Neurospora crassa OR74A: one gene and its partner. The protein of the gene in region 1 purifies or fractionates together with the protein of each later gene. This does not show direct contact. Links are inferred from orthologs where the notes say so. Each region holds a gene or a part of one and is shown on either strand. Other genes may lie near its edges.

Evidence for each region. Proteins that work in one complex are often made in the same cells at the same time.
Region 2: the proteins of NCU00417 (region 1) and NCU06994 purify together in Schizosaccharomyces pombe (affinity purification with mass spectrometry; 3 studies listed by BioGRID, with this or other methods). This does not show direct contact. The link is inferred for Neurospora crassa OR74A from reciprocal best matches to the Schizosaccharomyces pombe genes cwf14 and cdc5.

What each region holds. Positions count from the first base shown.
Region 1 is NC_026503.1:3,779,291-3,784,145, reverse strand, and holds NCU00417 (cell cycle control protein cwf14), read left to right. Parts: upstream 1-2,223; 5' UTR 2,224-2,362; coding exon 2,363-2,809; 3' UTR 2,810-3,132; exon of another isoform or gene 3,133-3,203; 3' UTR 3,204-3,227; downstream 3,228-4,855. Other genes in the region: NCU00419 (DNA-directed RNA polymerase I and III polypeptide), read left to right, coding at 102-272, 331-422, 494-570, 642-772; nuo14.8 (NADH:ubiquinone oxidoreductase 14.8kD subunit), read right to left, coding at 1,029-1,040, 1,125-1,235, 1,470-1,616, 1,752-1,813, 1,867-1,990; NCU00416 (C2H2 type zinc finger domain-containing protein), read right to left, coding at 3,239-3,712, 3,824-4,237. UniProt on the Schizosaccharomyces pombe protein: Involved in mRNA splicing where it associates with cdc5 and the other cwf proteins as part of the spliceosome.
Region 2 is NC_026504.1:4,814,532-4,820,788, forward strand, and holds NCU06994 (pre-mRNA-splicing factor cef-1), read left to right. Parts: upstream 1-2,314; 5' UTR 2,315-2,477; coding exon 2,478-4,478; intron 4,479-4,545; coding exon 4,546-4,884; 3' UTR 4,885-5,136; downstream 5,137-6,257. Other genes in the region: NCU06993 (Ash2-trithorax family protein), read right to left, coding at 1-1,131, 1,209-1,663; NCU06995 (hypothetical protein), read right to left, coding at 5,597-5,650, 5,797-6,257. UniProt on the Schizosaccharomyces pombe protein: Involved in mRNA splicing and cell cycle control.

The DNA of each region.
Region 1 (4,855 bases):
TGGAAGGATTTACACAATCGAATAACAACAACTTTACGCAAAGATCCAAACCATCTTTCAGTTACCGGTAACTCACGTTACCAACAACCATTACAGTCAAAATGGGCAAGATCACCAAGTTCGGCGACGAGGGCGAGGAGGTTACCATGAAGGAGACCCCGACTTCTCACCAGCCGGAGGCTCAGGATGATGTCTCTATGGCCGATGCGGGCGAGGAAGGAGAGGAGGGAGATGAGGAGTATGAGGAGGGAGAGGGTACTAAAGTTAGACTTGTACGTGAAACCCTCCATGACGAATATATGTCGACTCGAGACTAACACCTGAGCACAGCTTCCTGGTTCTACGCCCACGGCCGCTTCTTTCGAGTTCCTTGATGAGAACCATACCCTTGGTAACGCGCTCAGATACGTCATCATGAAGAAGTGAGTACCGGGAGCTTCACTTGTCTCATGTTAATGAGCTGAGCTGTGACTGTGCTAACACCATTTCATAGCCCTGATGTCGAATTCTGCGCCTACGCCATTCCTCATCCCTCCGAAGCCAAAATGAACGTTAGAATTCAGACCTATGGTGCGTCATCTTTCTCGTCCACTTCTTAGCGAGACCTGTGAATACAGAGGTGAACTAACAGTAACATGCAGAGGGCACAACTGCTGTCGAGGCACTCCGCAAGGGTCTGCGTGACATTCAAGATCTTTGCGACGTCGTTTCGGATAAGTTCCTTGAGGCGCGCAAGGACTTTACTGATAAGAAGGCCGCTGCGTCTGCCTAAGCCTCTTGTTTCTCACCTTTCTTTTCATCGTTAATTTTCACCAGCATGGGTAACGGCGTTTTGGGGCTTGAATTGGTAGTAAATCACAAGGGGGAACAAAAAATAGACAAAGGAAAACTCGCTGTGAGTGGCCATCAAGATAAGGGGGGAAGATAAAAGAACAAGCGGCTGCGTCCATGGATGTTCATCTGGCTTGCGTTATATACATAGGCTCTAGAGGAAAGGCTGACATTGATACCCTTCGTTATTACTCTTCTTAGTTGCGACCCTAGATGAAAGAAGAGTATTGTGAGCTACCCGCACAATGAAGTGGCCATCATCAAAGACAAAAGAGCTGCATGTATAGGCTTACCTGCAGGAAGCCATCGATAAAGCTGGAGGGAAGTCTCTTGGCTCCACGGAAGCTCTCCTCGTTGAAGTACGACATCATGTGAGTCGTCTGGCGCCAAAAGTTCATGGTTTCCTGATAGACGCGTGGAGAGTCAGCGTCAAGTTACCAGAACAATCAGTCCGAATCGCCGCGACGCATAACATGCGCCAGCGCTCTGATATTCCCTTCTGACCCCTTGCCTGGAACCCTTTCCCTCTTCTTTTTGGGTGTTCTCCAGATTTTGGACATGACCCCACTGCTGTGCCCGTTTCTGGGGATCCCCTGATTCATGTCCGTGTGGATAGTGACGATGAAGTGGAGCCTTACTTGATAGTCGGCATGGCCCTTTGTGAGCAGAACATCCACCACGGGCAACTTGTTAACGAAGCGGTTGCGCTCGAATTCCTGCCTGATGCGAGTGCGAATGACCGAAATGGGGAGGGGTAGTGAGTACATAGACTGCATCTCGGGTGTCTGTTGTATGTGATATCCTGGTTAGCGAATCCTCGGTCGGGATTGTTCGCACTCCTCCCATTATATACGTCGATATCCAACGTGTTCGTCGAAAGCTGGAAATGCTCGTTCTATGTAGGTTCGCTCGTAACGTACCGAACGAAGCCATCGCCGATAAAGGGCGAACACCCTCCGCTTGGCGTCGCTCCAGTTTGCCGCTACAATGTCCGTCAGAGTTACTCGTTCAGCTTGTACAACTGGGGTCACTTACACTGCCTGGTGGTGATGGCGTACTTGGTAGGTGTGATGGGCATTTTGGGCCAATTCGTGACTTGAGGACCTTTGGAGGTTGTCGCCGTTCCGTTCGCCAGGGTCGGTCGATTCGTCGTTCGCATGACAGCTTGTAGCTTCAGCAGTCGGCTCGGGGTCGGTAGCATCCAGCTAAGCCACAGTTGCTCTTACACACAGAGTGCGGGCGCTGATAGCACTAGCCACAACTACAAGAGGCCAATGACGTTGGCGCCACAATTCCAAGGCGTTTCTGGCAGGCAATTTTGAGCCAGTTCACTGCACTTACGCCGGGGATCACAGCACTCTCCTCTGGTCAGCTCATTAGATTTGAAGTTCTCCATCCTTCAACCGAACAATTGCGATATCACCACACACTCCGATACTCTTCCGAGTATATACGTTAGCGCAACGCAAAACACGTTACTTAAAGCACCGCTTACTAAATCCCGAGGCCGAGGACCAGCGACGACCTCAAAATGCCAGCCATTCGCCCCGCCTCGAAGCGCAAGCCGCCCCCAGAGGGTTTTGCCGACATTGAGGAGGATCTGCTCATCTTCGCCAACAAGATGAAGGACGCACAGAACGCCCCGACGGACAACATACCCAAGCACCAGGCCAAATGGCCTATCTTCCAGATCTCGCACCAGCGGAGCCGGTACATCTATGAGCTCTACTACGAAAAAGAGGCCATCAGCAAGCAGCTGTACGAGTGGCTGCTCAAGAATGGATACGCGGACGCGATGCTGATCGCCAAGTGGAAGAAGAACGGCTACGAGAAGCTCTGCTGCCTGCGCTGCATACAGACCAAGGAGACCAACTTCAACTCGACGTGCATCTGCCGCGTGCCCAAGGCCGAGCTGAAGGAGGGCCAGGATGTGCAGTGCGTGAGCTGTGGGTGCAGAGGGTGTGCTACTGGTGATTGAAGAGGAGGAGGCACGGATTTGAGGTTATAAAATTGAAAAGGGACGGCAGGGACAAGCAACTTTTTTCAAGGCTGAGATGTGGTGGAGAAACAATGAGAAGCCAGGGGCCGACGAACGGCTGTTCAGCGCCGCGATAATGATACCAACAACATCTCTTTGTCGAGCACGCATCGGGAGAGGGAAGAGGCGTTCACGGGGAGAGGGTAAGATAAGATGCTTTCTCCTTTGCAGAGCTATGTTTGACGCTTACTGTTGAGGGAGCAGATTGAACAAACATACGAACACGTTATGTCATGATATCATGGAATGTGAGGACCGTATCAGTATGTTCTCGCTACAGATGTGCAATAATATGTTTCAGCTGCCCAGTACTAATGGAATTGGTTTGCCCAAGCCTTACCACATCTCGTTTTTGCACTTCCTCTGTTGTCACCTTTTGGCGAATCCAGTCTTTCCTCCACGACCACGACCAAATCTGACACTGGAGGGTACGAACTGCAGTGCAGACATCTTGCCTACCAAGTCTCCCATATCCACGTCAGCCGGCTCCTCAACGGCCTCCTCGTGCGGTTGGTCTGTCATCTCAGCATCGGGTTTCGTCGATGTTGGAGTGGGCTCGGGCCGATCTACTTCCATCCGCTCCTTCATTTCTGATGGAGGCTTTGACTTGGAGTTGACCTTTGGGTCGGAAGAGCTGGCATGTGTTTCCGCTGCCGATGGCTTGTGGACCCGTTTCTGTTTCGGCCGCCGTTCATCCAACAACATCGACTGCCGCCCGTCAATACCGTGCAGTGTCACCGCGAAGAAGAAATTCTTTGGGTACATGTGCTTATCAATGAGATGCATCCGTCGCTTTTGGGGGGTCATGCATTTCCTTTCGCAACCTTCCACGAAGCAGGAGTACTGGAACGTTCGTTAGTGGCAAGCCTGCCAAAATTGAATCGGCACTCGGCAAGGCCAAGGACACGCCAGGACCAGGAGGGGAAAGAGGAGAAGTTGGAGGGCAGGACATACCGTGTGTTCACCTTTGTCTCTTTTGACAGCCGTGAAGGAGTCATGATTCTCCTCGATGTGCAGCCCAAGTAGATGAGACGAGGGGAAGTTTTTACGGCACTCGAGGCACCGGTTGGTGTGGATGCTGTTGTAATGGGATTCGTACTCGGAGTATGTCAAAAACACCAGTGTGTCCTTGTGTGGCGGCAGCGAACATTTCATCTGCATCCTGGGTTGGCTGAGGCTTTCGGTGGGATCTAGCCCAGCGATCTTTGCAGCGGGTGGTGACCCGGAGGCATCGGCGCTGGTAGATCGGCTCGTTGTTGTCTCGGTGGTATCACCCAATTGCTGTTGGTTTGGATAAAGAGAGCTTGTCGTTGTTACTGTTTGTTGATAGGGCAGAGGGTCCTCCTCGGGTTCGCGTGACCGCTTCATGTTTGTGCCTTATCGGTATTCTTTTGGGTGTGTTGATGGACTAGATTTGCAATGACATTTATTTGTACCCGAATTCTGTTGGTCATGGGCTAGGTATACCGCTTGCTTCCTTTACCCTTTGTTTTGGATTTGATATTGAGGTCGGTTGTAGTGAATCAGACCAGCAACGTTGTCGTGGAACGATTCGATATTGTGGTTTCTCCAACCAACCCTACTCCTTGAGTTTGAGAACTTCGATGTTCTATCATCCGGTTTAGCCCTCTTTATCACTAGTGATATGTACGTAATCCATTCGCATATGACTGATTGTAAGTTGACGCAAGCTCAGATATCGTTGGAGTGGAATTCGATGTCGACAGGTGATGAAAATCACTGGAGTGAAAGCTTCCACTTTCATCATGTCTAATATGCACGGACCAATTGCCCTCTGGGACATTGTTAGCGTCAAGTGCTAGTGAGCCGTGGGTGCTGTAGGGTACTACTTACTGTGTAGGTACCTAGAACTAGGGACAAGTGGAATCCTGTACATCGGCCAGCTCAGTTCAACGTCAAAGGACCCGGACCCGACTCTTTGGCGAGCGAGCGGCAGAGGGGACGGACCACACACCCACATGATTG
Region 2 (6,257 bases), on another chromosome or scaffold:
ATAATGTCGTAGACGATATCTTCGACTATTTGCTCCTCGTAGCGACCCGACACCGGCCGCAGGGGTTCTTGATTCGGCACACTTCCGTCGTCAAGCATGTCCACGTCGTCCTCATCGCCTACCCCGTTCTGCTGCTTCTGGGGAAGACCAGACCCAGGTGGTGGGAACCAGAAGTCTGGGCCAAAGTTCACCTCGACGGCGCCACCGCGGAAAACACTTACGGCTGGGTAGTATCCGACAGTTCCGTCGTCGAGAGCTTCTCTGCCGGCATGTGCCCCTGACTGAGTACTTTGTTTTGATGCGGGTGGTAGGAAGGCGAAGAGGTCAGTCCAAGGCGTGCCCATGTCCTTTCCATTTTTGTAAATCTTGATGTACGAGTTCGGCAGCGTCCGTAGCGACGGCAATGGGTGATTTGGGTTCGGCGGTTCCGGCGAGTTTGAGCTTGCCGATGCTACCGGCGCGGGACTGAACAAGTCTTCCAGCTCCTTGGTTGTGTGGTAGTCAATCTTCTCAAAGTAAATGTGTTGTTTGAACCGAATGGGGATCCGGTCCCGGATGATGTTGGGTGCCTCGAGCGATGGTTCGTCGTCTGCCAAGTCGACCGCAGGGTTATAATGCCCCGTTACAATCTTCCTGTGTAAATGTTCCGAAGGCAGCTGGATCTCCAGCCCGATCACATCTCCTTCTTTGATCTCCTCGCCAGGCGGGAAGAAGTCTTTCGGCCGTGACATGTGCACCTTTTGTCCAGCCACGTCTCGAATACCATAACTGTAGCAATCGAACCCGACGGGGGCGTCGAGAGAAGCCTCACGCCGCGCCCAGCCCACGCGAACGTGCCCATGCGCCTTGGTATCACCTTCGGAACCTGGCTCGCGCAGGGTGCCTCGAGTGACCTTGCACTCCCAATACCACCTGCCCTCTCGCACGGCCACGTTGGCTCGTGACATACGGAAGCCCTTGTCGGTGGTGACATGACGACCCTGTCGGTCAAAGTATACGTGGGAGGCAGAGTCCTCGAAGGCCATGTGGGCAGCGTACGGCTCGGTCTCGGTCTGGCGATAGTAGAACATGGAAGGAAACGTTGGGTCGGCTATACAGTGAGTGTAATGGAACGCTCGCTTGTTGAAGACACTGTAGGAAAAAGGCAAATCAGAATATGCTCCGCATGAATGGAGAATGGCGAAGGAGCAAATATAGATAAGACATACTGTTCGGTTGCATCAAAGAATTCGATGGTCTCGCCCTCGGGCCCTTGAACCTCATGATGGCTGGTGAAGACGGGACCGCGCGCGGGCTCGAAATCAGTAAGTTTGGGCGGAGCGAGCTTATAGCGCGCGGGGAGCAATTCGTTGATCAAGGGCTCTTTGTGTTGCTGCTTCGGGTCTGGAGTTGCTCTAGAACTATCGGAACCGCCTGCTGCTGCCTTGGCCTCCCTCTTCTTGAAGGAGTCCTTCTTTGTTCTCTTTTCGCGGTTTAGAACGGCTGCTTGCTGGGTGTCTTCGGGTGCCTGTATTTGGACTCTTGGAGCGGCCTTGTTATCTGGGTTTAGGGGTGATGGAACTGCTGGACTGTGGTCGTCTTCGAGCGTGCGCTTCTGAGGGATCGTCGTGGCAGCTCCGGAAGGTGTTTGCTCCCTTCGGGGAGAGCCTACGTCGCTGGCCATATGTAGCTCGGCAGACGTCGTGCTAGCAGTAACGTTGACAAATATTTAACTAAGTGATTAGTTTTGCTTTCGCAAGCTGTCCTTGTCCTGAAGTCGACTTGTGTTTGGACTCGAACGGCGAGCACTCCAAGTCCAAAGTAGGTACCGACGGGAGCTCTTCTGATCGACGACAGCTTATGGATGCTAAGAATAATCTGAGAATTGCCCGATGGTGATCCTACGGGTAAATGCTTTGGTACTCGGAGAAGACGCGTACTTTTGGAGAGCGCAATTGGGTTAAAGAGTCCAGTTTCGGAGCGATTTGATGTTCTTTCTGGGGATTTCTGTAAAGAGTTGAGAAATGTAAGAGGAAAGAAAGACATGTGAACCAGAAATGGTGGATGGAAGCTTCATCCACTCGACCAACAGCAGCAGCGTGTCGCGACAAAAGGGCGGGGCATCCTTCTGTTAGTGGTTAACGGCAGGCAGGGGTCCCGGAGCTTGGCTCGCTTGTTAGTTACCACATGCATGGGACACAAAAATGCTAACAGCGCGGGAACCTGTTGCCTGCCGCAAAAAGGTCTTGAGGTTGGCTAGCGCTTGACAGTTGATACTGGGAAAGACGCCAAGGCAGTTGCGTCGCGGGTGATTCCATTGTTCGCCTTGACGCCAGCGCTTTGAATTTCTGGATTTCTTCCCCATCAACACAACAACATTTCAACACTTTCAATTCCAATTCCAAGACAACCCCAACCCCGAGTGTCCTCCCACCTACCGGAACGACTCCCGCATCACTACAACGCCCGACGAGTATCCATAACGGCCGAGCGACAAGATGCCCGTCGTCAAGGGAGGTGTGTGGACCAACATCGAGGATGAAATCCTCAAGGCGTCGGTCAGCAAGTACGGCCTGAACCAGTGGGCCCGCGTCTCGTCGCTGCTGGCCCGCAAGACGCCCAAGCAGTGCAAGGCAAGATGGAACGAATGGCTGGATCCCAGCATCAAGAAGATCGAATGGAGCAAGGAGGAGGATGAGAAGCTGCTGCACCTCGCCAAGCTGATGCCGACCCAATGGCGTACCATTGCCCCCATCGTTGGAAGAACCGCAAACCAGTGCCTGGAAAGATACCAAAGACTTCTCGACGAAGCTGAGCAGAGGGAGGCGTCCGCTCTTGGGCTGACGGGCCCTGATGGAGGCGAAGCTCACGCGCCCAGCGCCGACGATGTTCGCAAACTACGTCCTGGCGAGGTCGACCCCGATCCGGAGACGAAACCCGCCCGTCCCGACACCATCGATCTCGATGAAGATGAGAAAGAAATGTTGAGCGAGGCTCGCGCGCGTCTGGCCAACACACAGGGTAAAAAGGCCAAGCGAAAGGCCCGTGAGCGACAGCAGGAGGAGTCACGCCGACTGGCCGCTCTCCAGAAGCGTCGCGAGTTGAAGACAGCCGGTATCAACATCAAGGTTACGACAAAGAAGCAGGGCCAGATGGACTACAATGCCGATATTCCATTCGAAAAGAAGCCTGTTCCCGGATTCTATGACACCACCGAGGAGATGTCTCGCAACGAGTACCAGCGCGCCCATTTCGACCCCAAGAAGCAGCAGGTTGGGAACAAGCGCAAGGGTGAAGAGGACGAGAGAGACGGCAAGAGGAGAAAGGGCGACAAGGACCCATCTGTGCAAGCCGCCCTCAAGGCCGGTCAACTGCAGAAGATGCGCGAGGCAGAACAGAGCAGCAAGCGGAGGGCTTTGGTCCTGCCAGCACCTCAGGTCGGCGAAGGCGAGTTGGAGGAAATTGTGAAGATGGGCATGATTGGCGAACGGGCAAATATGCTGGCTCGCGAAAGCGACAACGACGCAACTCGTGGCCTGATCAACAACTACTCGACACTCAACACCAATGCGCCAATCCGAACACCGATGGCCCCCGCTCAGGAAGACCACATCGCAAACGAGATCCGCAACATCCGAGCACTAACAGAGACGCAATCCTCGCTGCTCGGTGGAGAGAACACACCTCTACACCAGGGGGTGGGCTCTACCGGCTTCGAGTCGGTTGCGCCGCGGAAGCAGGTCATGTCAACCCCTAACCCCTTAGCCACCCCTTTGCGGGCAGCTGGAGCTGGTCCTGGCGCCACGCCCCTCCGCGTCGGCCAAACACCACTGCGCACTCCCCGTGATACATTTGCTCTCAATGATGCCGGTGACGAAATGTCCATGGTGGGCGGCACACCCCGAGATGTTAAGATGCGCGAGATGTCTATTCGGCACCAGCTCAAGCAAGGCCTCGCGTCTCTTCCCAAGCCCAAAGAGACCGAGTGGGAGCTCGAGCTGCCGGACGATCAGCAAGAGCCCAAGACCGCTGAGCAGCTGGAGGAGGATGCTGCTGAACGTGATCGACGAGAAAGGGAGATCAGGGAGGCGCGAGAGCTGTTGGAGCGCAAGAGACGTACCCAGGTCATGCAGCGGGATCTGCCTCGGCCTGTCCAAGTCGATTATCAGTCACTCTTGAAGGAAGCCTCGCAGGCCGAGGACCCTGTCAAGGTTCTCATCGCTCGTGAAGCGGCCTTGCTCGTAGCTCATGATGCCACCAAGTATCCTCTACCGGGAGCTCAGCCAACTGGCCGGGCACTGGAGATCCAGAAAATCGACGACGCCGCGTTGCAAGAGGCCAAGCTTCAGGTTCTGATGGAAATCAAGGATAAACCAAAGCCGGAAGAAGTTCAAGCGGTGTGGGAAAAGAGCAACAGCAGCTCCCTTTTGCTTGGGCTGGGATGCTATGAGGACGATGAAGAAGAAGAGCAGATTTCCACTATGCAAATTGCGCTTGAGGTATGTACAACTAACCCCTTTTCTGCCTCCTGCCTTCCGAAGGCTTACTGGCTAACCTAACCTGCAGGAGGTCATTGACCAAATCGTCGCCTCGGCAGAGAAGGGCAACAAGCTCGAGAAGAAGCTCAACCTGCATCTTGGCGGTTACAAGAATCGGGCTGAAATGCTGCGGAAGAAGATCAGTGAGGCTCACGAGGCGTTGGAGAAGGCGAACAACGCTCTGGGCGCTTTCAAGGTCCTCCAGTCCTCGGAGCAGGCCGCTATTCGGAACCGGCTGGCGGCGCTGCGTGAGGAGGTGGGCTTTGTGAGCACGAGGGAGAGAGAGGCGCAGGAGTTATACAGGAGGACGAGGGAAGAGCTGGATGCTTTGACGCTCAACGGGCCGAAGGCCAATGGGTTCCGCTGAATGATGTGTTGGAAGAGTGTGGTCAGGTTGTGAATAATTGAGTGTTGGTTAAACTCTGGCATGGCATGGTATGTCTGGCAACTGTCTGTGGAATGGCCACTGACGTCGAGCAGCTCAAAATAAGAAGCATTGAACATTATTATGTACTTGGAGGACGTCTCTCGATGCACCGTGTGAATATGTATAGTACGATGACCAACCTCCCTCTCAATATCAGTGAATTCTTCTCCTACGAGATTCTCACAACCCAGGGGCTTGGTAAGCGGGAGCCAAGGTGAACGCCAAATGCGAGTCATATCATATACACTGCAAAAAGCTTACCGGGGAGCGACGAAGCTTGTCTTCACTGGCAATCAGTCTGTACCGAGCTGTTCATTCAATCTCTCCTATCTCTCTCTCTGCTCTGTGTCTTTTTCTTCCCTCCCTCTTCTGGGAATGCATCCCTCCCTCTCCCTCTCTCTACCCTACACAAAACCAGACCAAAACAAAACAAAACAAAACAAAACAAAGACGCTCGCAGTAAATTTCCCCCAAAGCTAAGCCAAAATATGAAAAAAATTTTGCCATCCATCCCTCCAACGCCTTGCCTATATCTATCCCCTCTCTATCCTCTATTCTATCCTCTATCCCGTCCGCCCGTCTACCCTCATGAGCTTCGTTTTGCCAATCGGTCGTCGTCATCCTCTTCACTCTTCACTCTTCCTGAGTCCCCTCACTTGACGCAGGCGGAGGAGGTCTCATCGTAACCACCACCACCAGCAAAACACTAGCCACCACCATCCCAGCCAAAAAACAAGCAAAAATCAAGCGGCGTAAGAAAAGGCTGCGCGAGCGATGATGATGATGATGATGGGGTGAAGAAGTGGTCCGAGATGATGGGTGGTGGTGACCTGCGTCTGCTGAGGAATAAACCAACACGTCGTCGGCTGCTATAAGGGGAGTAGTCTCATCAGGCTTGGGCATGATGAACTGGTGCTGGGAGAAGAGATCCACGGCAGCGGCGGAGGTGGCGGCGGCGACGGCGTCTTGATCTTGTTCATGTTGCCGTTGTGGTTGTCCTTCATGCCGGCTACCACTAATGGTTGACGCATCATCGTCCTCGTCATCCTCCTCGTCATCGCTATCATCGGTTGACGTGGTATAAGACCCCGTAGTTGTAGATTCTTTCCGTCTTCGCCATGGTTGGGGAAGCGAGACGCTGTTCCGGACACCCTGAAACCGTGCAATCTGGCTGTAGTAGGATGAGTCAGGCGCTATGGACGAAGATGGGCCGAAAGATGGAAAGGGGCGGGTGTCGAGTGCTCCTGAGCGGACTGATGAGGCTTCGGCGTCGTCGTCTGTGAGCCATGAGGATGATGGTGGAGCTGGTGGTG